Linked DNA regions of Callithrix jacchus. The protein of the gene in region 1 purifies or fractionates together with the protein of each later gene. This does not show direct contact. Links are inferred from orthologs where the notes say so. Each region holds a gene or a part of one and is shown in the gene's direction. Other genes may lie near its edges.

What was found.
Region 2: the proteins of CARNMT1 (region 1) and RNF113A purify together in Homo sapiens (affinity purification with mass spectrometry; 3 studies listed by BioGRID and IntAct, counting the BioPlex papers as one, with this or other methods). This does not show direct contact. The link is inferred for Callithrix jacchus from reciprocal best matches to the Homo sapiens genes CARNMT1 and RNF113A.

Annotation. Positions count from the first base shown.
Region 1 is NC_133502.1:89,838,107-89,854,363, forward strand, and holds part of CARNMT1 (carnosine N-methyltransferase), read left to right. Parts: intron 1-7,227; coding exon 7,228-7,423; intron 7,424-8,591; coding exon 8,592-8,755; intron 8,756-16,257.
Region 2 is NC_133524.1:115,846,177-115,861,863, reverse strand, and holds RNF113A (E3 ubiquitin-protein ligase RNF113A), read left to right. Parts: upstream 1-8,440; 5' UTR 8,441-8,541; coding exon 8,542-9,573; 3' UTR 9,574-9,623; downstream 9,624-15,687. Other genes in the region: NDUFA1 (NADH dehydrogenase [ubiquinone] 1 alpha subcomplex subunit 1), read right to left, coding at 3,639-3,659, 6,732-6,821, 8,142-8,243. UniProt on the Homo sapiens protein: Required for pre-mRNA splicing as component of the spliceosome. As a component of the minor spliceosome, involved in the splicing of U12-type introns in pre-mRNAs. E3 ubiquitin-protein ligase that catalyzes the transfer of ubiquitin onto target proteins.

The DNA of each region.
Region 1 (16,257 bases):
CCATTCATTTTATAACCCAGTCTTACTATGAGTGAAACACCTCAGTACATAGAAAATATTAGAGTTGAAAAATTGAAAGACTTTTCAGAAACTTCTTACTTTTAGAGATAACAGGGTGAGATTATTTTAGGATGGGCGTGGTTGCTCACACTTGTAATCCCAGCACTTTGCGAGGCTGAGGAGGGCGGATTGCCTGAGGTCAGGAGTTCCATACCAGCCTGGCCAATATGGTGAAACCCCGTCTCTGCTAAAACTGCAAAAGTTAGCCGGGCTTGCTGGCACATGCCTGTAATCCCAGCTACTTGGGAGGCTGAGGTTGCAGTGAGCTGACATCGTGCCACTGCTCTCCAGCCTGGGCAACAGAGCAAGACTCTTGTCTCAAAAAAAAAAAAAAAAGAAAAGAAAAAGAAATAACAAGGTGAGATTTTTTAATATTGAGATTTAGAGCTCATTTTTACAGGTGAAGATGTGGATATACACAAAGCAGTAAGCAACTTCCTAAGGCTTACACAATCAAGCTGTGGCAGAATCTGACCTAAAATCCAAAATAATTACCTAAAATTTTCCTGTGGATTAATGAGGAGTTATACTAGTAATACAAATTTAATGTTAGGTGTTTAATAAAGATTTAAAATGAATCAAGACAGACTTTATTTCTGACAAGTTATGTTTTTTTCAATTTGGATTTCCTAGAGTAGTTCAACTAAGTGCAGAGGAATGGGCCTGTGACTATGGCCTTTAGTTCACCCTGATGACAGGTGACTAAATCAGAGTTGAAGTCACTGCTGACCTCAGAGAGAGTAGGAGGTAGAGATACTGTTGAGGAAAAATGGTTACTAAGTTTACTTTCTTCCCTCATCAGCAAGAGGATGTGGCCTCCTGATGCTGACTTAGTTCAGAACCAAGGAGGTCTGATTTTTGTCAAATATTCCTTCAAAGCAGATTTGGCAGTTTCTTAAAAGGGCCGGGCAGTAAATGTTTTAGGCTCTGAAGGCCAAGTGGTCTCTTGTTACAACTATTCAACTCTGCCCTTTAGTGGAAGGGACCTTAGGCTGTTTGTAATCACTAGTAGAGATGGGGTTTCACCTTGTCATCCAGGCTGGTCTTGAATTCCTGACCTCAGGCAATCCACCCGCCTCGGCCTCCCAAAGTGCTGGGATTACAGGCGTGAGCCACTTCGCCAGGCCAGATCCCATCTATTTTAAGAGTCACTGATGGATGGATGTTATGGCAGCTTTACACACCATTAAGTAACCAGGGGTTTAAGGATCCCATCGTGCTCTGCGTAGTTACTTAGCTTCTGTATCAGGAATTGACAGCTCTTCTAACCAATCTATAACTCATCTCAACTCACCCTTGCAACCTTGATACTACTTGGTAATAAGTAGTCTCCATGGAAAACCAATGGCATTGTGGGAAAGTAACTGAACATTTATTGCTTTTTACATATGCTGAAATACAGAGATACTGAATAATGACCAAGATGACACTGTGTTTTAGAAGAATTCATCTGATTAGAGGTGGAGCCGGGAGGGCAGGGGAGGAGTTAGGAAATAGAATTGAAAAGTATCCTGGGCTTATTGATTGTGGGACTAAGAGAAGAGGCATTTAGGTTGACTCCTTATTTTCTAACTTGGGTGCATGAAGGAAGGAGTGCAGGTTTTTGTGGGGCATGTGCAAAGTTCAGTTTGGATATGAGTTTTGAGGTGTGGTGAGAGAGAAGTTGTGGGGCAACCCCAGTGCTCAGAAGTGAACACGAGGAAGAAAGTTCTGTGAGGCTATTCAATCTGTTGATGGTGAACTGTTAAAGCTCTGCTATTTGCCTCACTTGTTGTGAATATACTCTGCTGTTAGGAATATAAATTGATGGAGTCTTTCTGCACATCATTTTATATCAAGAGCCTGAAAAATACTTATTCTTGGGAGTACACCAGGGGGTGGGGGCTCATGCCTGTAATCCTAATGCTTTGGGAGGCCGAGGATGGCAGATCACTTCAGGTCAGGAGTTTGAGACCAGCCTGGCCAACATGGTGAAACCCCATCTCTACTAAAAATATAAAAATTAGCCAGGCATGGTGGCAGGCACCTATAGTCCCAGTTACTTGGGAGGCTCAGCCAGGATAATCACTTGAAGCTGGGAGGCAGAGGTTGTGGTAAGCCGAGATTGTGCCATTATACTCCAGCCTAGGTGACAATGAGACTTCATCTCAAAAAACAAACAAAAAACCTTATTCCCCTTCTTACCTGGTAATTCTAATTTCAGGAATTTATGCTAATTGTTTTTCTAAAATATAGACAGATTTTGAACATAAAAAGTTCATCATAAAAACAAGTGAGTGTCTAAATGCCCAGTAGTTTGGAAATAGCTAAGTAACTATTGGTTACGAAAGATGGAATGATGAACATCCACTTTGTACCCCAACAAACATATACACTTATAATTTGTCAATATTCAGCTTGAATTAAAGTAAGATGCTAGATGACTTTGTCTTTTTTTTTTTTTCTTCTCTGTTTTGGAGACAGGGTCTTGCTGTAGCTTGCAGTGCAGTGACACAATCATGACTCACTGCAGCCTTGACCTTCTGGGCTCAAGCAAGCCTCCCGAGTAGGTGAGGCTACAGGCATACACCACCATGCCTGGCTAATTGTTTTTTTTTTTTTTAAATTTTTTTGTAGAGATGAGGGTTTTGCTCTATTGCCCAGGCTGGTTTTGAACGCCTGGCCTCAAATAGGCCTCTCACCTTAGCCTCCCAAAACGCTGGGATTACAGGCATGAACCACGGCAACTTTGTATTAAACAAAACAGTGCCAAAAGGCTAGAAGTGGTTCTCTCTAGAAGAGAAATTAGTAGCCTTTCTTTCCCTGTGTATTTTTAATTTTCTGCTTTGAACACTTTAATAATATAAATGAGATATACCTACTGTTTTCTGGAGTGCTTGCTGTGTTTTCAGCTATTGGGCTAAATCTTTTGAGTATGTTGTTTCCAATGAAACCCTGTCTAATAGGCAGAGGAACGTAATGCTACCTACCTCATTCTGGAGATGTTTCAGAATAATCAGTATCAACTGACTTGGTTTAGTCCTTGCCATTTATTAAATCTCAATAAATGGTAGATTCCGTGATCATCATCATTAGGGTTGTTCATTCTTATTTTGCTTCTGTATATGATAAAGTTGCAAAAAGGAAGTAATTTGCCTGATGCCCTATGGCAAATAGGTGTCATAACCTGGATTTCATCCCTGATCTTTCTGACTTCAAAGCTCATTATTATACTCTCTCCAGAGGGAGAAGTCAGTGGAACTTCTGTCAACTTGATCTCTTCACCATACCCCTAAGGGCCACCCCCACCAGGCCACCACACACAAGCTTGTAAAGTCGTGACTAGTGAGGTTTTTGCTTGTTTGTCAGGAGCTTCTTCTGAAGTTCATTACTGTTCAGCAGTTGGAATAATTTGGCATAAGGTAAAAATGAGAAAATTGTTTGTATGAATAAAGATTTAAGAAAGCAGATGACAAAGGTATTGAAAATGAAAATGAAACTGAAAATGAAAAATATTTTCGACTGGGCGCGGTGGCTCATGCCTATAATCCTAGCACTTTGGGATCACGAGGTCAAGAGATCAAGACCATCCTGGTCAACGAGGTAAAACCCCGTCTCTACTAAAAATACAAAAATTAGCTGGGCATGGTGATTCGCGCCTGTAGTCCCACCTACTCGGGAGGCTGAGGCAGGAGAATTGCTTGAACCCAGAAGGCAGAGGTTGCGGTGAGCCAAGATCCTGCCATTGCACTCCAGTCTGGGTAACAACAGCGAAACTCCGTCTCAAAAAAAAAAAGAAAAAGAAAAATATTTTCATTTAATATTGAATTAATACCAAAGAACATATAAACATATACACATACATATAAAATGTAGAGAATGATATAGTGAACACATCAATTGACCGCCTAGTTTTTTTAAAAACATCCTGTCTCTTTCACCCTCAGAATCATTATCCTGAATTTTTACATCTTTACTTTCTTTGTCGTTTTTCCACATATAATCAATCCCTAAATAATATATTTTGTTTTCTATAAAATGCAATTGTACTTTATGAATTCTTCCCCAGTTTTTTTTCCCAAAAAATGTATATGTTCCTGAGTTTTTTCCAGATGGTAATGGGAGTAACCAATTTCTGCCAAAATATATTAAGAGGTTGATTCTGGGTCACTGTGATAGTGACCACAGCCTGTGGTTACACAGCGTCAAATGGTCCTGAGAAAGTGTGCCCCAGGTGGTTGGGTTACAATTTGATTTTATACATTTTTTTTTTTTTTTTTAAAGATACGGTTTCACCATGATGGCCAGGCTGGTCTTGAACTCCTGACCTCAGGTGATCCACCCACCTCAGCCTCCCAAAGTGCTAGGATTCCAAGCGTGAGCCACCGTGCCCAGCTAGGTTTTATACATTTTAGAGAGAAAGGAATTACATGGAAGGTATATAGTGATCTCACCCAAAAGGTAGGACATCTTGAAGAAGGGGGTTATAAGTCATAGGTGGGTTTCAGGGATTCTTTAGTTGGCACTTGGTTGATAGAGGTAAGCTATTTTAAGTAGAAAGGAATGCCTGAGGTAGATAAGGGGCTTATGGAGGCCAAGGTTCTTGTTAAGTAAATGTAGCCTCCCAGGTAGCAGCCCTCGGAGGGAAGAGATTCTAAATGTCTCTTTTTAGACTTTAATGTTTTCAGGCTATCAGTTAATCTTTCCTAGATCCAGGAAAGGCGTAGAGAGGGAAGGCCTGGTTACATTAATGGAGATTCTTGACAGATGCACATTTCCCCTAAGAAACACGGCTTTGTGGGACCATTGAAATCTGTTGGCCCCATGGCCGCCATTTCAAAATGTCAAAGACATATATTTTGAGGTAAAACATTTTGATTTCCTTATGAGTCTGCAACGTGTCATATGATGCTATACCAGAGTCAAGTTGGAAAGTAAGTCATTATATAGGGTTAATAAAAACCTGTCTAACAAGATTTTATAGTTTGTAAGGCGTGACGCCCTAGGCCTCTTGGGAACTTGGAGAAGAGAAAAAAAAAAAAATCAATGTTCAGTCCTCACTCTTTTTTTTTTTGAGATGGAGTTTGGCTCTTGTTACCCAGGCTGGAGTGCAATGGCGCAATCTCGGCTCACCACAACCTCCGCCTCCCGGGTTCAGGCAATTCTGCCTCAGCCTCCTGAGTAGCTGGGATTACAGGCACGCGCCACCATGCCCAACTAATTTTTTGTATTTTTAGTAGACACAGGGTTTCACTATGTTGACCAGGCTGGTTTTGAGCTCCTGGCCTCAAGTGATCCGCCTGCCTTGGCTTCCCAAAGTGCTGAGATTACAGGCATGATCCCCTGTACTGGCCTGTTTGTTATTTCTAACAGTACTGTGACAAAGATTGTTCATGTTTCGTGTGGCCCATTTGCAGTAGTTTCTAGGAGTATAATTGCTAGGTCATAAGGCAAGTACCATGCTAAATTTTGCTAGGCAGTGCTCTAAGTTCTTTCCAAAGTGGTTGCACTAATTTATGCACTTACCATTAGTGTATAAATGTCCTAATTATACCATATTTTCACCATTTGATATAGTCAGGCTTTTAAATTTTAGCCATCTTGTTGATATAAAAATGATATACTGTTAGTGTATATTTAACTTTTAAAAATGATGTTTTGGCTGGGTGTGGTGGCTCAGGCCTGTAATCCCAGCACTTTGGGAAGCTGAGGTGGGTGGATCATGAGGTCAAGAGAACAAAATCATTCTGGCCAACATGGTCTTGATGACAACCCGTCGCCCTGCCACCATCTCTACTATAAATACAAAAATTAGCTGGGCATGGTGGCAAGCACCTGTAGTCCCAGTTACTTGGGAGGCTGATGCAGAAGAATCGCTTGAACCTAGGAGGTAGAGATTGGAGTGAGCCGGGATCGTGCCACTGCACTCCGACCTGGGCGACAGAGTGAGATTCCATCTTAAAAAAAAAAAAAGATTATATTCTTGTGGCCAGGCACAGTGGCTCATGTCTGCAATCCCAGCACTTTGGGCGGCCAGGGCAGGCACATTGCTTGAGTCCAGGAATTGGAGACCAGCCTGGGCAACATGGTGAAACTGGTCTCTATAAAAAAATACAAAAATATTAGCCGACTGTGGTGGCACATGTTTGTAGTCCCAGCTACTTGGGAGGCTGAGTTGGGAGGATGGCTTCAGCCTGGGAAGCAGAGGGTACAGTGAGCTGAGACTGTGCCACTGCATTCCAACCTGGGCAACAAGAGCAAAACTCCATCTCAAACAATAATAATAGTAATAATAAATATAAGTAAAAATAATGTTCCGTTTTCTTGTTTTATGAATAAGCAGTCCCCAGAATGGCCTTTGGGGTCATTTTTCTAATGCAAATTGTGGATATTGTTAAATAAAACACTAGAATTTCAGTGTTTTATTTCCTTAGTAATTTGTAGTGTATAAGATCTATGATATTTTTAAAAATTCAAGTAGGTTATTTTTAGTTAATTTCAGGATACATTTTGTGTGTATTATAATTTCACAGCAGTATTTATTTTGCTACTTAAAGATGTAAAAATCTGACCTGGTGCGGTGGCTCACGCCTGTAGTCCCAGCACTTTGGGAGGCCAAGGTGGGCGGATTGTGAGGTCAGGAGGTCGAGACCAGCCTGGCCAACATGGTGAAACCCCATCTCTGCTAAAAATACAAAAATTAGCCAGGCATGGTGGTAGTTGCCTGTAATTCCAGCTGCTTGGGAGGCTGAGGCAAGAGAATCGGTTGAGCCTCGGAGGCAGAAGTTACAGTGAACCAAGATCACGCCATTGCACTCTAGCCTGGGCAACAGAGCAAGACTCTGTCTCAAAAAAAAAAAACAAAAAAAAAACAAGGAATGATTTAAAGCATTTTGCTGAAAAGTTTAAGTTTAAAACACAAAAATTAATTAATTGTACATTAATCTTCTTTTCCCCCTTCTAATTGTTGCATATGTTTACTTTTACCAGTGATAAACCATATGTATTTTGGTTGCTTGAAGAAGGATTTGAAATAAAGTAAAAACATACAACTTTCAAAAAGCCAAGACACTGTAAATGATAGTACAGTATCCAGCATAATAATTGTACAGAAAGACAAACTTAAAGTAAGATTGGCCTCTGGTGAGAATTCTTTTGCAAATTTAAAAAACACCTTTTATGTTTTAGCACCAGTATGCATGAGCGAGTGAACCGAACAGAAAGACAGTTTCGATCACTTCCAGCTAACCAACAGAAACTACTTCCTCAGTTTCTTCTGCACTTGGACAAGATCCGGAAATGCATTGATCATAATCAAGAAATACTACTGACCATTGTGAATGATTGCATACATATGTTTGAAAATAAAGAATATGGAGAAGATGTATGTGAAAGTTTGTTCTATTTGTGTTTATTTTAGGGTCAACCTCTGTATTTTGATTTGGATTTCATTTTTATAATCTGGCACAGGCTATTTGCTCTGCTCAAGAAGTTTTCACTTGAATGTTCAGTTATTTGATCAGGCTTGATAGAATAGTATGCCAGAAACTGGATTTGCTGGTTACTTAATCAGGCTTAATAGAACAGTATGCCAGAGACTGTATTTGGTTTTCCTTTGTAAAATACTAACATAATTGTTAGGATTTTAATGCATTTTAACATAGTGTTCTGTTATGGAATATAGGACTAGTGACTTAAATTTTTTTTTTTTTTTGAGATGGAGTCTTGTTCTGTCACCCAGGCTGGAGTGCAGTGGCACAATATTGGCTCACTGCAACCTCTGCCTCCCAGGTTCAGGCGCTTCTCCTGCCTCAGCCTCCCGAATAGCTGGGATTACAGGTGTCCGCCACCACGCCCAGCTAAGTTTTTGTATTTTTAGTAGAGATAGGGTTTCACTATGTTGGCCAGGCTGGTCTTGAACGCCTGACCTCGTGATGCAACTGCCTCAGCCTCCCAAAGTGCTGGTATTACAGGTGTGAGTCACCATGCCCGGCCAGCAACTTAAATTTTTATAATCAACTTTACTAGCTAGAAATTAATTTCCCTTGCTTAACTCATATTTTTTCAGTGTCTTATATCTATTGCTGTTCATCTTTTATTGTATTAAATTATTTTCACTTATAAATCTCAAGGGCCTGGCAGTACATGGAAACTGAAGTCCTCTTTTTGTATCCACAGGATGGATACAGTTGGGCCACTCCAGTGTGAGCCTCTCCATGCTGCCCCATCAATGACCTGGAGGGACTTTCTTCCCTCTCTTAGAGAGGATGTTCGGTCTCCATAGCAGCTCAGTTTGGTCCTTTCCTGAGTAAAGACTGCTTAATTATATGGTGGTTTTATGATTAATGGACCTTAATCTTATGAGGGTAGCAGTGAGACCACCAAACTCTTTTCATTTAGGATCTCAAGCTGCACTTGAACCCCGGTTGAGGTGAGAGGCTAGTGAGTTATCCACTAAACCACCTATATAGCCCCTTAGTAGCATGTCTATTTAACCATAACAAAAATAGATTACTCTCTCAGAAGCTAATTGATGTCTGTTTTTTAAACAGGGGAATGGAAAGATTATGCCAGCATCTACATTTGACATGGATAAGTTAAAATCCACATTGAAACAGTTTGTGAGAGACTGGAGTGAAACTGGGAAAACAGAAAGGGATGCCTGTTACCAGCCAATCATTAAAGAAATTTTAAAAAATTTTCCAAAAGAGAGATGGTAAATACTTTGTTTTTAACCAAGTTTTTAAAGATGTACAAACACTTGAGTTTCTTGATAAGATGTTTCACAGTCTTGCTTCGTTGTTATAGTTGCTGTGTGCCTGTATCTTTTACATCTGTGTTATATTTTTTATTGGATGCTCTTTGTGAGGTTGCAGATATTTTGAATAACTTTGGTGCTGGGGTTAGGGGAAATTATTTAGAAATTAAATAATAAGATTAGATTGAAAATTATCAATAATGTGTGTCTTTTTATAATTTGCTTTATGGCAAAGCAAAAAACTGTAAACTTAATTCTCCTCATTATGACATAATTGTAAACAAGTGAGGGATCTGTACCTCTGAGCAAGCAGAGATTTCTAACTTTTGTGCCTTGGAACTATTGGTCAGTTTGAAGCCCGTGGTCTGCTTTTTAGAATAATTCTTTGTTTGTTTGTTTTGAGACAGTCTCACTCTGTTGCCCAGGCTGGAGTGCAGTAGTGTGCTCATGGCTCGCTGCAACCTCCGCCTCCTGGGTTCAGACGATTCTCATGCCTCAGACTCACAAATAGCTGGGACTACAGGCTTGTGCCACCATGCCTGGCTGATTTTTTATTTTTGGCTGGTCTGGAATTTCTGACCTCAAGTGATCTGCCCGCCTCTTCCTCCCAAAGTGCTGAGATTACAGGTGTGAGCCACTGCACCCGACCCAGAATAACAATTTTAAGTGCATAGGATTACAAAGAAAACAGTGATTTTGGAATACAGTTATAAAAATATTTTAAAAGCACATTTGTGATGCATGGTTTTTAAAAAATCATATTACTTTAAATACAATTTAGCTGCCAGTGTAGTTACTGTATTATGAAAGTGCTGAATGGTATATACACTATTTTGAGAACCTCAGCTAATGTGAAGTGAAAATATGTGTGATTTCTCTTCGAGATAAAGTCAAAGGTATTGCCAAAAACTATTTGTTGCCTGCATTCATAATTGAAGAAAAAAAAAATCAGTTTCTGAAATTAAAATGTATTTTTTCCCCATTCCCTTCAGAGACTCAGTGAATTCTATCCACAGACCTCTTGATGGATAGAATTTAATCTACCTACCCTTAGTCCCAGGTTAAGTACCCCTAATTTAGGGATATATATTTAATGAGAGTTACTGGATGGAATTCAGTCTTACTTAAGGATATTTTAGAGAGGCTCCTTTTCCTCCTCTCCTTCACCTCCTTATAGATTGACAGCTTTACATTTGAGTATATGCTTTCAGAAATTTCAATACATATGTCTCTTCGCTCTCTTTATTTTTTGTTGGGACATTTAATTTTATTATTATTTATTTATTTATTTTTATTTTTCACTCTGTTGCCCAGGCTGGTGTGCACTGGCTCTGTCTTGGCTCACTGCAACCTCCTCCTCCCAGGCTCAAGTGATTCTTGTGCCTCAGCCTCCTGAGTAGGTGCGATTACAGACACCCACCACTATGCCTGGCTAATTTCAAACTCTGTGACCATGTTGGCCAGGCTGATTTCAAACTCCTGGCCTCAAGTGATCTGCTCGCCTCAGCCTCCCAAGTGCTGGGATTACAGATGTGAGCCACAATGCCCAGCCTCTCTTTCTTTTTTAAACTATTTTGAAATAACTTTAAAATTACAGATAGTTGCATGAATTATACGGAAATCCCCTGAGTTCACTTATACTTTTTCCCTGAATTCACCAATTTTTAACACTTTGCCACATTTGCTTTTATTGTTTCCTCATGCTTCTTCCCTTCCTTCTTCTTTCCCCTGTATTATGTATGTGTGCGTCTGAAACCATTGAGGAAATTTAACCCTGGATACTGTTATGTAATTTACCGTCTATATTTGAGTTTCATAATTTACCATGGTTCATACCGATAACTCTTAATTCCAGTCCCAACTCTGTAGGGTTCTCCTTGGTTTTCCCTCTTCTCTATGTCTGTTTACCTCACTTCCAACAACATCAGTGCATTTATTAATTCGCACAGTATCTACAATACACACAAAATGGCTTCACAGTTGCTTCATCCATATCTCTGTGAAAAAGAAACCTATTAAAAAGAGTTTAGGATTTGCTAATAGTTGTTTTTTTCCCCTAGACTAAGGATGTATAGTGAATTTATTTTTTGCAGTTTACCCAAATTAGCTCTCCCTTCAATCCCCAGCTCCTAGTATTTCATTGCCTCCTGTTGTTCTGTACTCCATGTGGATAATCAGTATCACTGGCATCTTGTTTATCCATTCTTTTTTTCTTCGTGTTTTTTTAAAGTAAGTAGATGTGGTTTTTTCTCTTTCTCTCTCTCTCTTTTGTTGAGGGGGAACACAAAGTGTTTGTCTGTCATCCAAGCTGTAGTGCAGTGGTATTATCATAGCTCATTGTAGCCTTGAACTCCTGGGCTCAAATATTCCTCCCACCTCAGCCTCCCAGCTAATGTTTTATTTTTTGTGGAGACCGGGGTTTTTCTATATTCAACAGGCTGGTCTTGAACTCCTGGCCTCAAGTGATCCTCCTGCCTCTACCTCCCAAAATGTTGGGATTACAGGCTTAAGTCACTGTGCCTGGCCTCTTTTTTTTCTTTTTAATTACCGTCTTTGGTTATCCACAAAAAATATAGCATACCTTTATTCTGTACCTTGTTTTTTCACTTACTGTATCCTGGAAATAGCTATACTGCCAGTTCATAGACATCTTCAGTCATTTTTTTTCCAGCTGCAGATTACTCTGTTACTTGGATGTATCAGTTTATTCAACTAACTTTATCCTACATTAGGCTATTTCGGTAGTTGGCAGTATTTAGCAATTATACATAATGCTAAAATTAATAACTTCATGCCTATGTATTTTATATTAATGGAGGTACAACTTTAATTTTTATTTAAAAATTATTTGATAATCTTTTAAAAAGTCCATATTGTAATCTCAGAACTAATTTCTCCTGATTTTCCCCTACCAAACATTAGAATGTAAATAATGCAGAAGGATTTGTTTATTTTTCTTTGCAGCAGTTCCTGACCTCCCATGGTGAGAAATATCAGTTGGCACTTAATTGCATTATACTAAATTCTACCCAGTAAGGATGATTTTTTAGGTCTCAGTGCATGGGTTATGGAAATTTTCCATCATGCATTTTTCTGCTGCAGTTATAGGGCCTGTATATACTTATAAGAATTGGAGCTAATATCGAAGACAAAAAATTTCAGAACTCTTTCCCCCACAGTCCGCCAAGTTTTGAGGAAAATAAATATCAGTAGAAACAGCTCTGAAGAATTTATCTTCATGGTTCTGATAAGTAGATCTCATGATACCTGATTTAACAATACATGCAGATAAGATTTTTTTAAAAACAGTGTAACAACTTGGACAGTGCCGTGCAAACTCTGTAACCCACTGTCAACATGGTTCTGGATTTGGGCATGGATCATTTTAAAGAAAAACGAAGCTCTTATTTTTTAAAAAATTGTCAAAACTTGGAAGAGCTAGTCAGGTGCAGTGAAGTCAAGAGTTCGAGACCAGCCTGGCAAAGATGGCGAGACCCTGTCTCTACTAAAAATACAAAAATTAGCGGGACATGGTGGTATATATTTGTAATCCTAGCTACTCGGGAGTTTGAGGCAAGAATTGCTTGAACCTGGGAGGCAGAGATTGCAGTGAGCTGTCCTCCAGCCTGGCCAATAGAGCAAGACTGTCTTTAAAAACAACAACAACAACAACAACAAAAATTCGACCTTCAGTACCTTGGCCCTTAACTGACCCATAGTGATATTCAGTCACATCTCAAATGGTCAAGGATGTATTAAAAGTGGGATTGCTGCATAACACATTGATTTCACTGTTTCTAAGGGTCAGAAGTCTGGGCATGGCCTAACTGATTCTTCTGTGTAGGAGCTTACAAGGCAGCATTCTAGGTGTCTGCTGGGTTGTGTTTTCACCTGGAGGCTTGACTGGGGAAGAATCTGTTACTCATGTTTCATTTTGTTTAATTGCAGTTGAATTACTGAGGCAGAATTCTTTTCATTGTGGCTGTAGGACTGAGGGTCTTAGCTGCTTTCTGGCTGCCAGCTGGAAAGCTGCCTCATCTCCTAGAGGCAACCCACAGTTCCTTGTCTTTCCCAAAAGGACCACTTCATCAAGCCAGCAAGGAGAGGTGTCTAGATCAAGCAAACTGTCAACCGTCATATAGTTAACATTATTTCTGTATCATTTTCTCTCTTTCTCTTCTGGTACTCCAGTTACATGTATATTAAGTATTAAACCTTTTCATATCATCTCTTAGGTTTCACATGACTCTTTCCACACACTCCTTCTCCCAGCCCTTTATAGTATAGTTTGGATAATTTCTATTAATCCAACTTTAACTTCACTGATTCTTTATTATGCTAATCTGCTGATAAGTCCTTTGAAAGAATTCTTGATCTGACATGGCGGCTCACACCTGTAATCCCAGCACTTTGGGAGGCTTAGGTGGGTGGATCACTTGAGGCCAGGAGTTTGAGACTAGCCTAGCCAAGATGGTGAAACCCCATCTCTACCAAAAATACAAAAAATTAGCTGGGCATGGTGGTGGGTGCCTGTAATCTCAGCTACTTGGGAGGCTGAGGCAGGAGAATTGCTTGAACCCAGGAGGCAGAGGTTACAGTAAGCTGAGATTGTATCATTGCACTCTAGCCTGGGCAATAAGAGCAAAACTCCATCTCAAAAAAAGAAGTTATTTATCTCTCATACTGATTTCTTATTTTTAAAAATTTCTAGCACTTTCATACACATCCACATCCATATGCATATACTCTCTCCATACTGAAATTCTTTATCACTTTGTATACGTGATCTACCTTTTGCACTAGGTGATTTAACGTACTTTTTGTAGTTATTTTAAAATCCCTACCTAAAGATTCATATATTCTGTTCGTGTGACTGTTCTCTTGAAGGCTTCCTCATAACAATGAGTTCCACATTTTCTTGCTTCTTTGCATGTTTCTTTTTTATTTTTTGATTGAATGACAGACATTGTATGTAAAGGAATAGTAGACAATAAAGTAATATTAACAACCAGAAAAAAAATCATTTCTCCTTAATCTGTCAGGCCACTAGTTGGCTGGGGGGTCAGGGGAGGGTCATTCAATGGTCATGACTGAATCATTAAGTGATTTTAATTTCTAATATAGTTGCTAATATTACCTGCTTTTAATAATTACTTATTTGTCCATAAGCCTTGCATCTAGAAATATGGCAATGTAGGAATATTGTTGCTTTCTAGGAAGTGAAATGAAATGATTTCTGAAGTTTCATATGCATCTCACCTTTTGTGCATTTTTCCTGCATTAGAGTAATAGGAGTATCTTTGCAATATTAAGAAATACTTGGTATGGTTATACCGGGAAAAAGAAAAACAATTTGGGCTGGGCATGGTAGCAAACACCAGTAGTCCTAGCTATTCAGGAGGCTGAGGGAGGAGGATTGCTTAAGCCCAGGAGTTCAGGGCTGTAGTGTGCTGTGTGCTGTGATTGCACCTCTAATAGCCACTGCACTCCAGCCTGGGCAACATTGCAAAGTCTCATCTCTAAAGTTAAAAAATAAATTAAAAAATAAACTATTAGTTTTTATAGTTTCAATTCTCAAGTTTAGGCCTTTGATCCATTTTCAGTTGATTTTTATATGTGATATAAGGTAAGAATCCAACTTTATTTTGTATGTGGATATCCAGTTTTGCCAGCACATTTGTTAGAAAAAGACTGTCCTTTTCCCCCATTGAATGGTCTTAGTAGACTTGTTGAAAATTAGTGGACCATTTATATGGTTTTTTTTCCTGGATTCTGTACTCTAAACAGAATGCTTCATTGGTCTGTGTTTTTGTCTTTATGCCATAACATACTATTGTAATTGCTGGGCAATTTATAGTTTTATAAAATAGTTTTATAAATTTCAAAGTCAGGAAGTGTGAGTCCTCCTTTGTTTTTTTTTTCCAAGATTATTTTGGGGGCCTCTTGTAATTCTTGTGAATTTCAGGTTTTTTCATTTCTTTAGAAAAGGCTGTTGGACTTTTGATTCAGGATTGTGCTGAATAAATAGATTGCTTTGGGTAGTACTGGGGTCTTGACAACGTTAAATCTTACGCATTACCACAGGACGTCTTTCCATTTATTTAGATCTTTAATTTCTTTCAGCAGTGTTTTGTAGTTTTCAGTGTATAGGTCTTTTGCCTTGGTTAGATATATTTGTATGTATTTAATTCTTTTAAATCAAGCTTGTTCAACCAGCGGCCAGTGGGTTGCATGTGGCCCAGGACAGCTTTGAATGTGGCCCAACACAATTCATAAACTATCTTAAAACATTATGAGGTGTTTTCTTTTTCTCTCTTTTTTTTAAAGCACATTAACTATCATTAGAGTTATTTTATGTGTGGCCCAAGACAATTCTTCCAGTTTGGACCAGGGAAGCCAAAAAATGGGACATCCCTATGTTAGATACTATTATAAATGGAATTGCTTTCTTAATTTCCACTTCAGAATTTTTATTGCTGACGTAGTAGAAACACAACTGATTTTTGTGTGTTGATCTTTTCCCCTGCAATCTTGCTTTATTAGCTCTATTAGCTTTCTTAGGGATACTTTGTGGCCCACATTATGCAAGAAGAGATAGTTTTTACCTTTTCCTTTCCAATTTCAATGCCTTTTGTTTCCTTGTTTCTGTTCTTAGGGAGAAAGCTTTCAGTCTTTTCACCATTGACTAGTTGTTGGACTTTCATAAACACCCTTTATCATGTTGAAGAATTTTCTTCGTTTTTTGTTTTTTGGTTTGTTTTGTTTGTTTGTTTGTTTTGAGACAGGGTCTCGCTCTGTCACCCAGGTTGGAGTTCAGTGGCACCATCTCAGCTCACTGCAGCCTCAGCCTCCCAAGTAGCTGGGATTACAGGCACCCACCACCATACCTGGCTAATTTTTCTATTTTTAGTAGAGACGGGGTTTCATCATGTTGGTCAAGCTGATCTCATACTCTTGACCTCAAGTGATCCGTCCACCTTGGCCTCCCAAAGTGCTGGGATTACAGGTATGAGCCATCGCGCCCAGCCAAATTTTCTTAAGGTTTCTAAAGGTTTTTCTGATTAAAGAGTGCTGGATTTTGTCAAATGTCTTTTTTGCATCAATTGAGTTGATATATATGTTTTTTCTTCATTCCATTAATGTGATATATTTCATCAATTGATTTTCTTATGTTGAACCATGCTTGCATTCCTAGGATAAATTCCATTTGGTCATGGTAAATGATCTTTTTAGTAAACATTGTTGTTTCCAAAAAGATACATTCTTAAAGTTTCTAGTTGGGATTCTCTGTCGATAGATATGCTCAGTGACCTCCTTTGTCAAGCAATAGATGCTAGTTTAATACTTTCTGTAAAGTGCAGGTATATCTCAAGATTCATAATATCTGTTGCTGAAATATCTGTAAGTTTTAATTGGTAGGACTTTTAATAGAAATGTACCAAAGTTTTGGCTGTGAACCA
Region 2 (15,687 bases), on another chromosome or scaffold:
CAGCATGGTGAAACCCCATCTCTACTAAAAATACAAAAATTAGCTGGGTGTGGTGGCAGGTGCCTGTAATCCCAGCTACTTGGGAGGCTGAGGCAGAATCACTTGAACCCAGGAGGAGGAGGTTGCAGTGAGCTGAGATCATGCCATTGAACTCCAGCCTGGGCAACAAGAACAAAAACTCCGTCTCAAAAAAATAAAAATAAAAAATAAAGTAAAAAAAATTGTCACACCTTTGGGGTGGTGTGATAATTGACAAGTGCTAGGCAGGGCATTAGAGCAACTATTTTCACTGCACACCTCATATTGTTGCATTTTGAGCTAGGTGAATAATGTGACATCTTTTTTTTATTCTTTCGTTTTGTTTTGTTTTTTTGCATGCACTTAGGGCATAACATCTTTTTTTTTTTTTTTTTTGAGACAGAGTCTCGCTCTGTTGCCAGGCACCAGCCTGGAGTGCGGTGGCATAATCTCGGCTCACTACAATCTCCACCTCCCGGGTTCAAGCAATTCTCCTGCCTCAGCCTCCCAAGTAGCTGGGGCTACAGGCATGCGCCACCATTCCCAGCTAATTTTTGTATTTTTTAGTAGAGATGGGGTTTCACCATGTTGGCCAGGATGGTCTCGATCACCTGACCTCGTGATCCGCCCACCTCAGCCTCCCAAAGTGCTGGGATTACAGGTGTGATCCACCGCACCCGGCCTTTTTTTTTTTTTTTTGAGACAGTTTCATTCTTGTTGCCCAGGCTGGAGTGCAATGGTGTGATCTCGGCTCACCGCAACCTCCATCTCCCAGATTCAAGTGATTCTTCTACCTCAGCCTCCCGAGTAGCTGGGAGTACAGGCATGTACCACCATGTCCAGCCAATTTTTGTATTTTTAGTAGAGACAGGGTTTCTCCATGTTGGTTAGACTGGTCTCAAACTCCCAACCTCAAGTGATCTGCCTGCTTCAGCCTCCCAAAGTGCTGGGATTACAGGCGTGGGCCACCGCACCCTGCCTAACATCTGTTTTTTAAAATCTTAATGATAGTAAATAAAACCGAGCGAATGGGATTGTTTCCTAAGCAGCATTTTAACAGGCCGGTGACAGATGGATCTGAGATCAGTAGCTGTACCACTGTTAGAGCTGCTGTAAGAACACCCTTCTAACTGCACTTTCAAAAAAAAAAATCAAAAGAAATCCAGACTACACGCCAGTTAAACTCCTATCTTGAAAGTGTTTTAACATGGCTCACTCCCTAGCAGTAGAGTACAAAAATAAATCTCAATTTCATAGCAGATGCTACAAAAAAGGGCAGTGAAGAATTTGGACTCTAACCGTAAACCTAGCAGACTCTATCTGTCATTTTGGAGCCCCTCAGTATACAGTTGTGATAGTCGGCTAAGGACATAAAAACGGGGGATGATTTCCAACTAGAGAAAAAGTGGAGAAATAACAGACCTAGAAATCAGCAAAAGTAGCGATCAATCAGTCATGTTTTCAATACATCTTCTGTATTCATGAGTCCCTATGTGTACTACCTGCCCTCTTTCTTCCTTTCCAGGGGTAGTTATTTTAACCGTAAATTACACAAGGCTGCGAAGCACTAAATGATAATACAGGTAGTATTAAGTTTGTAATCATGACCAGGCTTTCCTTGAACAGTACAAGGTCATTGCCTATCAAGGGATGGCACAACATAGCCACTACTGTAAGGATAAACGCCACTTCCTTCTATAAGCCTCGCACTGTAAAATGAGATCAATAGCAATCACACAGTGCAGGTGTGTTCAAGGTAATCACCAGATCAGATATTAAACTGGATAAGATATGAAAAGCAACTTGGTATTCTCACCTGTAAGTGTCATCTGTGGTGTTGCTGCGTACACATGGAGTTATCACCATCTTTAGCTACATCTTTTCAGATCTTATTTGGTTACCTTTAACATTGAACATGCAACTCTATGAGACAGAGTCTTGTTCTGTCACCCAGGCTGGAGTACAGTGGCACGATCTCGGCTCACTGCAACCTCTACCTCCCAGGTTCAAGCAATTCTCCTGCCTCAGCCTCACGAGTAGTCAGGACTAGAGGCACGTGCCACCATGCCCAGGCAATTTTTGTATTTTCAGTAGAGATGGGGTTTCACCATACTGGCCAGGCTGGTCTCGAACTCCTGATCTTGTGATCCACCCACCTCATCCTCCCAAAGTTCTGGGATTACAGGGGTGAGCCACTGTGTCTCGTGCAACTCTTTATTTCAAGTGCTCAGTACACTCTCATTTTAATAAACCAAATGATTGATGTTGCTGCAGTATACTAAAATAAACATTACCTTAAGCATATACTATTTGTTAGATACCATACAGAATGCATGATTCAAGGTACAATCTGTTTTAAACATCTCCCAACTGGAATTTTTTTGGAGACGAAGTCTTACTCTTGTCACCCAGACTGGAGTACAGTGGCACGATCTGTTCACCGCAACCTCCGCCTCCCAGGTTCAAATGATTCTCCTGTCTCAGCCTCCTGAGTAGCTAGGATTACAGGCATATGCCACCACCATGCCCGGCCTGGAATTTGTTTTTTAAACCCTTCCCAGCTCAAACCTGACCAACTGGAATTTTAAACATTATAGGATCCACTCAGAAAAGAAACTAGAAAAAAAAACTACTACTTTTTCTGTATTTTCTAGTTATCTCTGAAGAAACTGTAAAAGTTAATAGTGTCAGCTGAGCACAATGGCTTATGTCTGTGATCCCAGCACTTTGGGATGCCAAGGCAGGTGGATCATTTGAGGTCAGGAATTCAAGACCAGCCTGGCCAACATGGTAAAACCCTGTCTCTACTAAAAAATACAAAAATTAACTGGGCACAGTGGTGTGCACCTGTAATCCCAGCTACTCGGGAGGCTGAGGTAGGAGAATCACTTGAACCCAGGAGGTACAGGTTGCAGTGAGCTAAGATCATGCCCCTGCACTCCAGCCTGGGCAACACTCTATGAAAAGTAATATAAACAGGCTGGGCACGGTGGCTCAAGCCTGTAATCCCAGCACTTTGGGAGGCCGAGGCGGGTGGATCATGAGGTCAACAGATCGAGACCATCCTGGTCAACATGATGAAACCCCGTCTCTACTAAAAATACAAAAAATTAGCTGGGCATGGTGGCGCGTGCCTGTAATCCCAGCTACTCGGGAGGCTGAGGCAGGAGAATTGCCTGAACCCAGGAGGAGGAGGTTGCGGTGAGCCGAGACTGCGCCATTGCACTCCAGCCTGGGTAACAAGAGCGAAACTCCATCTCAAAAAAAAAAAAAGTAAATAAATAAAGTTAAATATAGTATCTATTACAATGGTAGCAACTACAATTTTTGAAGTATTAGATGCTAGGCACAGAGACAGGTGCTTGATGTACATTATGTCTGTAATTATACAAGCCTCACAGGCCTTCTAGTTTTTTTTAAGTGATAAAGACTTCACTGGGTAGATTGCTTCATTTTGTGTAGTATGATTTTAAAAAAGAAATGCCTTTGATTTTTTTTCACTTTATTTTTATTAAGCACTACATAACACACTGCATGCTACATAACATACTGTATAATCTTCTAGCAGGGGTAGATGACCATAACTGAGTTATTTTTTCATCAATCAGGAAAATGCTTCTTTAATCAATGTTCTCCAAACCCTGAAAAACAGTTTAAAAGGAGAATGTGAGAAGTCTGTTCCTAACAAAGACATGTGATATACTTTTATTTCATGTCACCAAATGGCACTGTTACATTTCTTTAACTGCAATAATACATTGGATTAAATTTTATAATCACTAAAGAATAACCTGTAATGATGTCTAGTTTTCATTTTCTGACAGCAGCAAACATATTGCTTTACAGGAAAACAGAAATCTTCCCCTACCCCGAATCAGAACTAAAGTCAAGCAACTCTACCACCTGGATCCTTTTTTTTTTTTTTTTGAGATGGAATCGCTCCCATTGTGCAGGCTGGGGTGCAGTGGCACGATCTCGGCTCACTGCAACCTCCACTTCTCAGGTTCAAGTGATTCTCTTTCCTCAGCCCCTCGAGTAGCTGGGATCACAGGCATGCACCACCACACCCAGCTAATTTTTGTATTTTTAGTAGAGACGGGGTTTTGCCATGTTGGCCAGACTGGTCTTGAACTCCTGACCTCAGGTGATCCACCAGCCTCAGCCTCACAAAGTGCTAGGATTACAGGTGTGAGCCACCGTGCCCAGCCTCCACGTGGATCCTTTTACAAAGCACCTCTGTGAGTCAGAGGACAAGAAGGTAAAATCTGTTTTAAAAAATAACAGCCAACAGATACTATTATCCTCATTCCACTTTTTTACAAATGAGGAGATGGAGGCTCAGAGAGGTTAAAAGTCACCTGCTTAAGTCCATAAGGAATTAGCAGAGCCAGAATTCAAATCCAGGGAACCCTTCTCCGACAAGCACTACACTATACAAAATACCTACTGGATCTTACTAAGTTGTCAACCAAATAATTCAGAAGCTATAAGTTAAATGATTAATCATTGGTGACACTTCTTCTAAGTATTAAATAACATAGTCCAGGTATTTGGTTTACTATTACATGAAGAACTGCCTTAAGAGAAATTAAAACTGCAACTTCCTTGGAGCTGTCTCTTAGTAATCCTAATTCTGTCTCACATGCCAGGTGATTCTGATAGCTATTCTTGAAAATATGGCTCCAGATATGATTATCTATTATCATGTTCATTAGATTAGATTTTCAACTACCCCTCCACTGAGAGGTATATCACCCAGGTTGAGTCCCTATAATATTATTTAATCACTCTGACCCTTGTCTATAAAATGGAAATACTATTTACTTAGGTTTGCTGTGAGGAATAAATAAGCAAGGAGAAAATATTAAAAAGTAAACATTTTTAAAAGAATTATGATAATGAACTACTCCTACAAAATATGAAAATATACTATTAGGGCCAGGCGCAGGGGCTCACACCCATAATCCTAACACTTCGGGAGGCCAAGGCAGGTGGCTCACTTGAGGTCAGGAGTTAAGAGACCAGCTTGGCCAACATGGTGAAACTCCATCTCTACCAAAATATAGAAAAAAAAATTTAGCTGGGCATGGTGGTGTGTGCCTGTAATCCTAGCTACTCAGGAGACTGAGGCAGAAGAATTGTTTGAACCCGGGAGGCAGAGGTTGCAGTGAGCCAAGAGTGTACCACTGCACTCCAGCCTGGGTGACAGAGTGAGACCATGTCTCAAAACAAAACAAAACAAAACAAAACAAAACCCAAAACAAACAAACAAAAAAAACCCAAAAAACGTACTATTAGGTTGAGCCTTATGAAAATGCTACTGCTTGGCCATTTCTGACCTACAAAACTGGCAATGTATATACAATTATAGTAATTATTTAAATGAGGTATTGTTGCAGGAATAGACAGACCTATAGAGTACAGAAAAGCACCTCTGTGAAACAGGCCCATGTGTACATGGAGATTTAGTTTACTAGAATGGTATTACAAATAAAGATGAATTGGGTGTTTCGTGGTAGGTTTTTTGTTGTTTGTTTTTTGAGACAGGCTGTCATTCTCTCACCCAGGCTGGAGTGCAGTGGTGCGATCCCAGGTCACTGCAGCACCAAACCCCTGGGTTCAAGCTGTCCTCCTGTCTCAGCCTTCCGAGTAGCTAGGACTACTAAACCATTCTATAAATGCATAACTGTGATAACTGGCTACCTCTTGTAAAAAAGTAAAGTTAATCCTTCCTTCACATTATATAAATGACCTGTAGGTGGACCAAATAACTAAATGTTTAAAAAAAGAAAAAAGAAACAATATTAGGAGAAAACTTTTAAAGTATTTTTATGAGCCAGGTATAGTGGCACACCTGCAGTCCCAACTCCTCCAAAGGCTGAGGCAAGAAGATCACTTAAGCCTATGAGTTTGAGGCCAGCCTGGGCAACACAGCAAGACTGTCTCTATTTTATTTTTTCAAAGTATTTTTATAATTTTGGATAGAAAAGGCCTTTGTATGGGAGACATAAAAACCCAAAATCCAAGGCCGGGCGCGGTGGCTCACGCCTATAATCCCAGCACTTTGGGAGGCCGAGGCGGGTGGTTCACGAGGTCAAGAGATCGAGACCATCCTGGTCAACAAGGTGAAACCCCGTCTCTACTAAAAATACAAAAATTAGCTGGGCATGGTGGTGTGCGCCTGTAGTCCCAGCTACTCGGGAGGCTGAGGCAGGAGAATTGCTTGAACCCAGAAGGCGGAGGTTGCGGTGAGCTGAGATCCTGCCATTGCACTCCAGTCTGGGTAACAACAGCGAAACTCCATCTCAAAAAAAAAAAACAACAACCCAAAATTCAGAACAAAACATGATCAATTGAATATCAAAATTTAAAACTACCTGATAAAACACATCATACAGTGAAAAAGACAAACAGCAGACTGGGGAAAATGTCAAATATAAAATAGACAAAAAATTAAAGTCTAGAATATATAAAGAACTATAGATCAAAAAGAAAAAGACAAACAATAGAACAGGCAAAGGATATAGGCAACAATCCACAGAGTAAGAAATATATGACAGTAAGAAAGACTAAAAATATATATATATAAAAGATTAAATATGTAAAAAGATGCCAACCTCACTAGTAGATAAGAAAATGTATGACCCTTGGCAAGGTATTACCAGAACCCACCTCAACCCTGGCAGAAGGATGGCATCAGAGTGGCATCTTACCTTTGACTTATAGTAAAGATCAACTCCAGAGATGCGCCTATCTCTTTCCATCAAATTCCATGGATACAAAACATGAGCAATCCTTTTTTCCTTCAAATAAGAGACAATTGTTATTGCAGTTTATAAAAGTGAGTGACCCAATTGATAGGTATTTCGATTTTTAAAGGAGACATTCTAGAAAAATTAATAATACAAGACTACAATCTCCTAAATAAAATCAGACCACTAAACTTTAGAATTAAGTTGGTGACCAAGACTTCTTACGCTATCTTAACCAACATGAATTTTTTTTTTTAAAGAAATGTCTAGTTCTTGCCTTTTGGGACACTAAGAAACTCAGGTGAAGGAGGACAATCACAAAACCAGAAAGTAAATAAATTTATACTCTATACTAGAGACAATGTGAAGGGCTAGAAGAGGGAAAATGAATCCCAATGTAAAAAACTAGATCTTGGCCGGGCACGGTAGCTCCTGCCTGTAATCCCAGCACTTTGGGAGGCCAAGGCAGGCAGATCCCCTGATGTCAGGAGTTCAAGACCAGCCTGACCAACATGGAGAAACCCCATCTCTACAAAAAGATAAAATAATAAAAATAAAATAAGATCTTGCAGTAAATTATTAAAGGCTTGCAACAAAAAGTGGAGAATAAAAAAGTTATGGGTGGCCAGGAGCTCACATCTGTAATCCCAGCACTTTGGGAGGTCATGATGGGTGGATCACCTGAGGTCAGGAGTTCGAGACCAGCCTCGCCAACATGATGAAACCCCGTCTCTACTAAAAATACAAACAAAAATAAAAATTAGCCGGGCGTGGTGGCACCCGCCTGTAGTCCCAGCTACTCGGGAGGCTGAGGCAGGAGAACCTCTGGTTTTTTTTTTTCGAAACGAGTTTCGTGACTGTTGCCCAGGCTGGAGTGCAATGGTGCGATCTCGGCTCACCTCCACCTCCACCTCCCGGGTTCAAGCAATTCTCCTGCCTCAGCCTCCCAAATAACTAGGATTACAGGCATGCGCCACCACACCCGGCTGATTTTGTATTTTTAGTAGAGACGGGGTTTCACCATGTTGGTCAGGCTGGTCTTGATCTCCCGACTTCAGGTAATCCGCCCGCCTCGGCCTCGCAAAGTGCTGGATTACAGACTTAAGCCACCTCTTCTAATCTACCTTTCCGGGCCCCGAGTCGCTACTCTGCCCTAAGGCCCACTCTGATCCACCCTAAAACGCTGGTTTTCACTAGAGCAGGATGTGTTTTCTACCAACCTTCGTTTCGCAAGCCTCAGCTTCTAGGCAACCCTAAGAAAGGAGAAGGCCGACCTCGGAGAGAGGGTCCGCAAGCTGATGCCTCCCTGCCCCCCACCCTTTTCGGAAATCAGCCCGTGGAGTCGGCCCCCGCGCCCTCAAGCCCCCTTACCTTGCCGCCGTTAGTGAACTTGTGGATGTACGCAGTAGACAGTCCTGGAATAAGCAAGCACACGCCCATGGCGGCGAGTCCGGGGAGTATCTCGAACCACATCTCTGCCCGGTTACCTAGACCAAAACCCTACTTCTGAGTCCTTGAAAGGTGACGGATCTCCGGCTCTCTTCCCAGTAAGCCCCGCGGCCGCCAGCGAGCGGGGCGGTGCCACGTACGGCTCCGGAGGAAGCGACGGAATCCTCCAGGGCTCAAGAGAGGCTAGCGTTCGCGTTCTCGCAGTCTTCTTCCGCCACAGTCTTTTGCTTTGACTAGCGGCGGAGCGCGCAACGTGGAGTGACGCGCGGAGGCCAAGTGCTACCCAGGCAGCCACGGCCGTTTCGGAGCTCGGGACTCTAAAATGGCCGAGCAGCTTTCTCCAGGAAAAACGGCGGATCAGGTGTGCACCTTCCTTTTCAAAAAGCCTGGGCGGAAAGGGGCTGCTGGACGCAGAAAGCGCCCGGCCTGCGACCCAGAGCCTGGAGAAAGCAGCAGCAGTAGCGACGAAGGCTGCACTGTGATTCGACCGGAAAAGAAGCGGACGACCCACAATCCAATGATACAGAAGACCCGTGACAGTGGTAGACAGAAGGCGGCTTACGGCAACTTGAGCAGCGAGGAGGAGGTGGAAAATGAGCCCGAGAGTCTCGGCGTGGTTTATAAATCCACCCGCTCGGCGAAACCCGTGGGACCAGAGGATATGGGGGCAACAGCCGTCTATGAGCTGGACACAGAGAAAGAGCGCGATGCACAAGCCATCTTTGAGCGCAGCCAGAAGATCCAGGAGGAGCTGAGGGGCAAGGAGGATGACAAGATCTATCGGGGAATCAACAATTATCAGAAATACATGAAGCCCAAGGATACGTCTATGGGCAATGCCTCTTCCGGGATGGTGAGGAAGGGCCCCATCCGAGCGCCCGAGCATCTACGTGCCACCGTGCGCTGGGATTACCAGCCCGACATCTGTAAGGACTACAAAGAGACTGGCTTCTGCGGCTTCGGAGACAGCTGCAAATTCCTCCATGACCGTTCAGATTACAAGCATGGGTGGCAGATCGAACGTGAGCTTGATGAGGGTCGCTATGGTGTCTATGAGGATGAAAACTATGAAGTGGGAAGCGATGATGAGGAAATACCATTCAAATGTTTCATCTGTCGCCAGAGCTTCCAAAACCCAGTTGTCACCAAGTGCAGGCATTATTTCTGCGAGAGATGTGCACTGCAGCATTTCCGTACCACCCCGCGCTGCTTTGTCTGTGACCAGCAGACCTACGGCGTCTTCAATCCAGCGAAAGAATTGATTGCTAAACTAGAGAAGCATCGTGCTACAGGAGAGGGTGGTGCTTCCAACTTCCCAGAAGACCCCGATGAGGATCCAATTCCCATTACTTAGGCTTCCCATAATTCTTAAATTTAAAAAATAAATATTTTGTTCTTTTGGAAGTCTTAATTCGTGTCCTTTTAGAGAAAGTGACAGAAGGCGGGTGGTGAAGTAGGGTCCTGGATTAAAAGCTTCAAGGTAGGTATAATCGGGATTTTTAGCCCTAGAACACTTTGGCATAAATTATAGAGATGGGAGTAGTTTGAGAAAAGAGCTAGAATTTGCTCGAAGTAGCCAAAGCTATGATGAAAGCAAGAACTCTGAGCCTGTTTATTATATCACATTTCTGTATCACGTAATGTTTACCAGGTACTTTCATGCATTCTTTCTCTTAGGAGCCTGTACTACAAAATATATCAGAGCCAAGGTGTGAGGGAGAGGGGTTGGGTTTGGGCGATTGGTAGCTAGTACCACAGACTTCACGTATGGAAAATGTTCCTTGCTGTCTTGGAAGCAGCAATAGTTAACCCCCCTTCTATGGATGATAAAAGTGATCTGTGCTCTGCTATCCAGTGTGATAGACAGACACTAGCCTCATGTGGCTGTTGACCACTTGAAATGTAGCTAATGACCATATCGGACATAGCTGTTGTAGACTGAACTCGTGAACCTGCAGGGGGACAAAAACATAATATTTTATCATCACCTGAAACTATCTGTGTTCTCACAGACTCTATAATAGCACTGATCATGCCTTATTAAAATTAGTCAGTGTACCTGTCTTTCCAACTGGTTTATGAACTCAGTGACTAGCCTAGTGCTTGGCATATGATAAGCACTTAATAAATAAGCCTAGGGAGGTTTACAAAGAGAGATTGGGGGCAGGGTGCGGTGGCTCATGCCTGTAATCCCAGCACTTTGGGAGGCTGAGGTGGGCAGATCACGAGATCAGGAGTCCTAGACCAGCCTGACCGATAAGGTAAAACCTCATCTCTACTGAAAATACAAAACTTAGCCGGGCATGTTGGCACTTGCCCGGCTAGTGCCACCATGGTGTCATGGTGGCCTGTAGTCCCAGATACACGGGAGGCTGAGGCAGGAGAATCGCTTGAACCTGGGAGGTTGCAGTCAGCTGAGATTGTGCCACTGCACTCCAGCCTGGGCAGCGGCAGAGTGAGACTCCGTCTCAAAAAAAAAAAAGAGAGAGAGAGATTGGAGCCAAAGCCTTGAATTTAAGTTGAGGAACATTGACTATATTCTGTAGGCAGTGGGAGAGATAGAGATTTGGGAAGAGAACACAATCAGACTTGGGTTTTTCTTGTTTGTTTGTTTGTTTTTATAGTGTTACTGTCTTGGGCTATAGGTTGGATCATAGGGAGATGGAAGACAAGAGGCAGGGAGGCCAGTTAGGCCAAATGATTTTTTTTTTCAGTCTCCGTAGAGACTGTCAAAAATTGCCAACGCTGACTATATTTCAAATCATCATGGTGGGGTATTGGGAAAAGTTTTCAATTAGCAATAATCGCGCCTCGGATAAACCTCATTGGCTACGATACTACCACTGCGCAAAGCTAGGCCAAATGATTTTTATTGATATGATTCGAATTTGGGCTAATCCTAAAAACAGATGCAAGAATAAATTCTGGGTTAATAGTTTTTATTCACCTTCATTAATCCATTTAAAAGTTTTTTTTTTTTTTGAGACTGAGACTTGCTCTGTCGCCCAGGCTAAAGTGCATTGACGGGATCTTGGCTTACTGCAACCTCTGCCTTCCGGGTTAAAGTGATTCTCCTGCCTCAGCCTCCCAAGTGGCTTGGACTACAGGTGTGCACCACCATGCTTGGCTAATTTTTGTATTTTTAGTAGAGATGGGGTTTCACCATATTGGTCAGGCTGGTCTTGAACTCCTGAATTCGTGATCTGCCCTCCTCGGCCTCCCAAAGTGCTGGCATTACATGTGTGAGCCATCACACCCAGCCTAAAGATATTCTTTGAGTAGCTACTCTTTATCAGGCACTGTGCTTGGTATGGGGGATGTTAGCAGTGAACAAGACACACAGCCCATACCCTCATGGAGCTGGACATTAAATAATGACTGTTTGTTTCTGAGACAGAGTCTCACTGTATCACCCAGGCTGGAGTGCAGTGGTGTGATCTCAGCTCACTGTAACCTCTGCCTCCCAAGCTGGTCTCGAACTCCTGACCTCATGTGATCTGTCTGCCTTGGCCTCCCAAAGTGCTGGGATTACAGGTGTGAGCCACCGTGACCTGCCTGTTTTGTTTTGTTTTTTTAATTACAAATAGGGTCTCCCTATGTCGCCCAAGCCAGTCTCAAACTCCTGGCTTCAAGCAGTCCTCCCACCTCAGCTTCCTAACTCACTAGGATTACAGGCATGAGCCACATACCTGGCCTAGGAAAGCATTTTGAAAAGTGTCATGTCCTACACAAAGCTTCAGACGAAAAAGAAAGAAATGAAAAGTGTCCTGGAGGTGAGTCACAGTGGCTCACGCCTGTAATCCCAGCATATTTGGAGGCCGAGATGGGAGGATCACTTGAGGCCAGCCAGGAGTTGGAGACCAGCCTGGACAACAGGGAAACCTCCGTCTCTACAAAAAAAAAAAAAAAAAAAAAAAAACAAGCAAAAAAGCTGGGTGTGGTGATGTGCACCTGTAGTCCCAGCTACTCAGGAAGCTGAGGTGAAGGATCCCTTGAGCCCAGAAGATTAAGGCTGCAGTGAGCTGTGACTGTACTACTATACTCCAACCTGGGTGACAGACCCTGTCTCAAAAACAAAACAAAAAAGAAATATGGCAATGAGTAGCAAAAGAACCAGAAAAATTGTTCATTTTTTTTTAACCATTTCTGAGAATTTATACTAAAAAAGTTATTCAGGTTTGGGCACAGTGTCTCATGCCTGTAATCCCAGGACTTCAGGAGGCCAAGATTAGAAGATCACTTGAGCTCAGGAGTTCGAGACCAGCCTGGGCAACATAGCGAGACTCCCATCTCTAAAAAATAAAAATAAAAAAAGTTATTCAAAAGTAGAATCTGAGTCACAGCACCAAAAAAAAAAAAAAAAAAAATTTTTTTTAGGTAGAATAAAGCTTTATGGAAAAAGATATGCTTTGAGTTATAATCTCTTACATAAGCTGAGAGAAAAGGTCCAGGAGAAAACACAGATGATAAAAGGTGAAAGAATGCTGCTGATGACTAAATTCTAGGAGGTAGAACAGAAAAGTGACAGAATTAAGAGCATAAATCAGTCTTGAAGAGTTGAGAGGGCAAGAGAAAGATGGCATTTGTGTACTATTCCACATGACATTTTTGAATAATACTTGTCTGTGAATCTTTTTTTTTTTTTTTTTGGTTTTGAGACAGGGTCTCACTTTGTCACCCAGGCTCAAGTGCAGTGGTGAGATTTTGGCTCACTGCAACCTCTGCCTCCCAGGTTCAAACCATCCTCCTGCCTCAGCCTCCCGAGTAGTTGGAATTACTACCAGGCATGCACCACCATGCTCAGCTAATTTTTTGTATTTTTAGTAGGGACAGGGTTTCATTAAATGGGCCAGGCTGGTCTGGAAATCCTGGCCTCAAGTGATCTGTGTGCCTTGGCCTCTCAAAGTGCTGGGATTACAGACATGAGTCACTGCACCCTGCCTTGTCTGTAAATTTTGAAAAAGTATACAAAGTACTTGCAAATGAGCATTATTCTGGGGTCCAAAGCATTCAGCAGATTCTTAAAAGGGACCATAACTCCATAAAAGCACCTAAATCAATAGTGAACTCAAAGTACTTTCATGTTTACAAGCTTATGATTACATTTTCTATATGTGAGGAATATTTTCATAACCTTTAATTAAATGGTGCAACTTCATTTCATAGGTGGGAACCAAATAGTTATTCTTACAATTTAAAAGAAACTAAATAGGTGGAGGGAAGCAAGCACTCCAGCAGAGACAAGGTTGCAGCTGGACTGTAAAGGAGCTCACCTAGTTTGAGAAGTCAGGGCTCTTACGTCTCCCCTAGGAAATGAGCCTCAAACTGAGACTCAAGAAGTGAGTTGGAGAAAGAGTATCTCAAGTAGAGGAACAAATATATACTAAGGCCCCAATGTGAGAGACTACCTCCAACTAAAAACTCAAAGCAGTTTAAGGTGGCTGGGGAAAAGAGACAAGGTAGTTAAGGCCAAAGAGCAGAGAACTTGCAAGTCAAGTTAAAGACTTTGGACTTCATCTGAAGAGCAAAAATGCGCCATCAAAGCGTTTTAACGGCCGGGCGTGGTGGCTCACACCTGTAATCCCAACACTTTCGGAGGCCGAGGTGGGCAGATCACCTGAGGTCAGGAGTTCAAGACCTGCCTGGCCAACATGGTGAAACCCCGTCTCTAGTAAAAATACAAAAAATTAGGTGGGTGTGGTGGTGGGCGCCTTTAATCCCAGGTACTCGGGAGGCTGAGGCAGGAAAATCCCTTGAACCTGAGAGGTGTAGGTTGCAGTGAGCTGAGATTGCACCACTGCATTCCAGCCTGGGACACAGAGCAAAATTCTGTCTCACACACACACACACAAAAAGTTGAGGGGGAGTTAAGAAGGAAAATGAGATGATCAGATTTGAATTTCAAAAGATAATTCTGAAGAGTGGGGAATGGGTTGAAGGCAGCCAGACATGAAACAGGGAGGTCAGTTATGGGGGTGGTGCACTGGTCCAGGTAAGATGATGGTACACTAGACTAGACTGGTGGTTGTGAACAAACTTGTCTTGATCACCCACTACATGACAGGCAGTAAACACTGGAGATACAGCCATGACAAAAGCACACAAGTCCCTGCTCTCATACGTACATGAAGTAAACACAGTAGCTCACACTTATAATCCTAGCACTTTAGGAGGCCGAGGCAGGAGGATCACTTGAGGCCAGGAGTTGGAGACCAGCCTGGACAACAAAGTGAGACCCCATCTCCATAAAAAATAAAAAACTTAGCAAGGGAGGGTGGCATGTGCCTGTAGTCCCAGCTACTCAGGAGGTTTAGGCAGGAGGATCCCTTCAGCCTGGGAGTTTGAGGTTGTAGTGAGATGTGATCTGCACTCCAGCCTGGGTGACAGAGTGAGAACTCATCTCAAAAAAAAAAAAAAAAAAAAAGAATTTGCATGAGAGATAGTGACAGGTTTATATATATGTATACCAGATTGCCATGAGTGCTGGGAACAGTGATAAAGCAAGGTAAAGGCCTAAGAGTGCAGGGATCTAGGGAATTGCTATTTTATATACGGTAGTCAAGGAGGGCTTCTTCTGATAAGGTGACATTTGGGCAGAGACCTACATGAAACAGATATTGGGTGGAGGAGCATTCCAGACAGAGAACACCCGGTACAAAGGCCTGAGACAGGAAAGTGCATAAAACACAGCTTTGTAAGAGAACCAGTAATTACAGAAGAACACTTGCATAACCACACTGCAGGTCAAGAAGTACAAAACTGAAAACACTGAAGAAGACCCTTATGGATCCCCTCCAGATCACACCCTCAGGATCACACCCTCAGGTAATCACTTTTTTTTTTTGAGATGAAGTCTCACTCTGTCACCCAGGCTGGAGTGCAGTGACGCGATCTCAGCTCACTGCAGCCTCCGCCTCCTGGGTTTATGCAATCCTCCCACCTCAGCCCCCTGAGTAGCTGGAACTACAGGCGTTGGCCATCACACTGGGGTGATTTTTTTTCCTTTGGTAGAGATGGGGGTCTCCCTATGTTGCCTAGGCTGCTCTGGAACTCCTGGGCTCAAGCAATCCTCGTGTCTCAGCCTCTCAAATTGCTGGGATTACAGATGTGAACTACCACGCCTGGCTGTTGAACCTTTCTTTAAAGCAAACAGTTTAGTGGTATTTAATACATTCGCAATATTGTGCAACTACCACCTCTATATAGTTTCAAAACGTTGTTTTCATCACCCCAGAAGAAAACCCCACACCCGTTAAGCAAATGCTCCTCATTCCCTCCTCCCCTCTGCCAACCCCCCAATCCCTGGTAACCACCAATGTGCATTATCTGTGGATTTAACTGTGTTAGATATTTATTTCTTTTTTTTTTCCCCTGAGACAGAGTCTTGCTCTGTCACCCAGGGTGGGGTGTAATGGCCCGATCTCAGCTCACTGCAACCTCAGCCTCCCGTGTTCAAGCAATTCTCCTG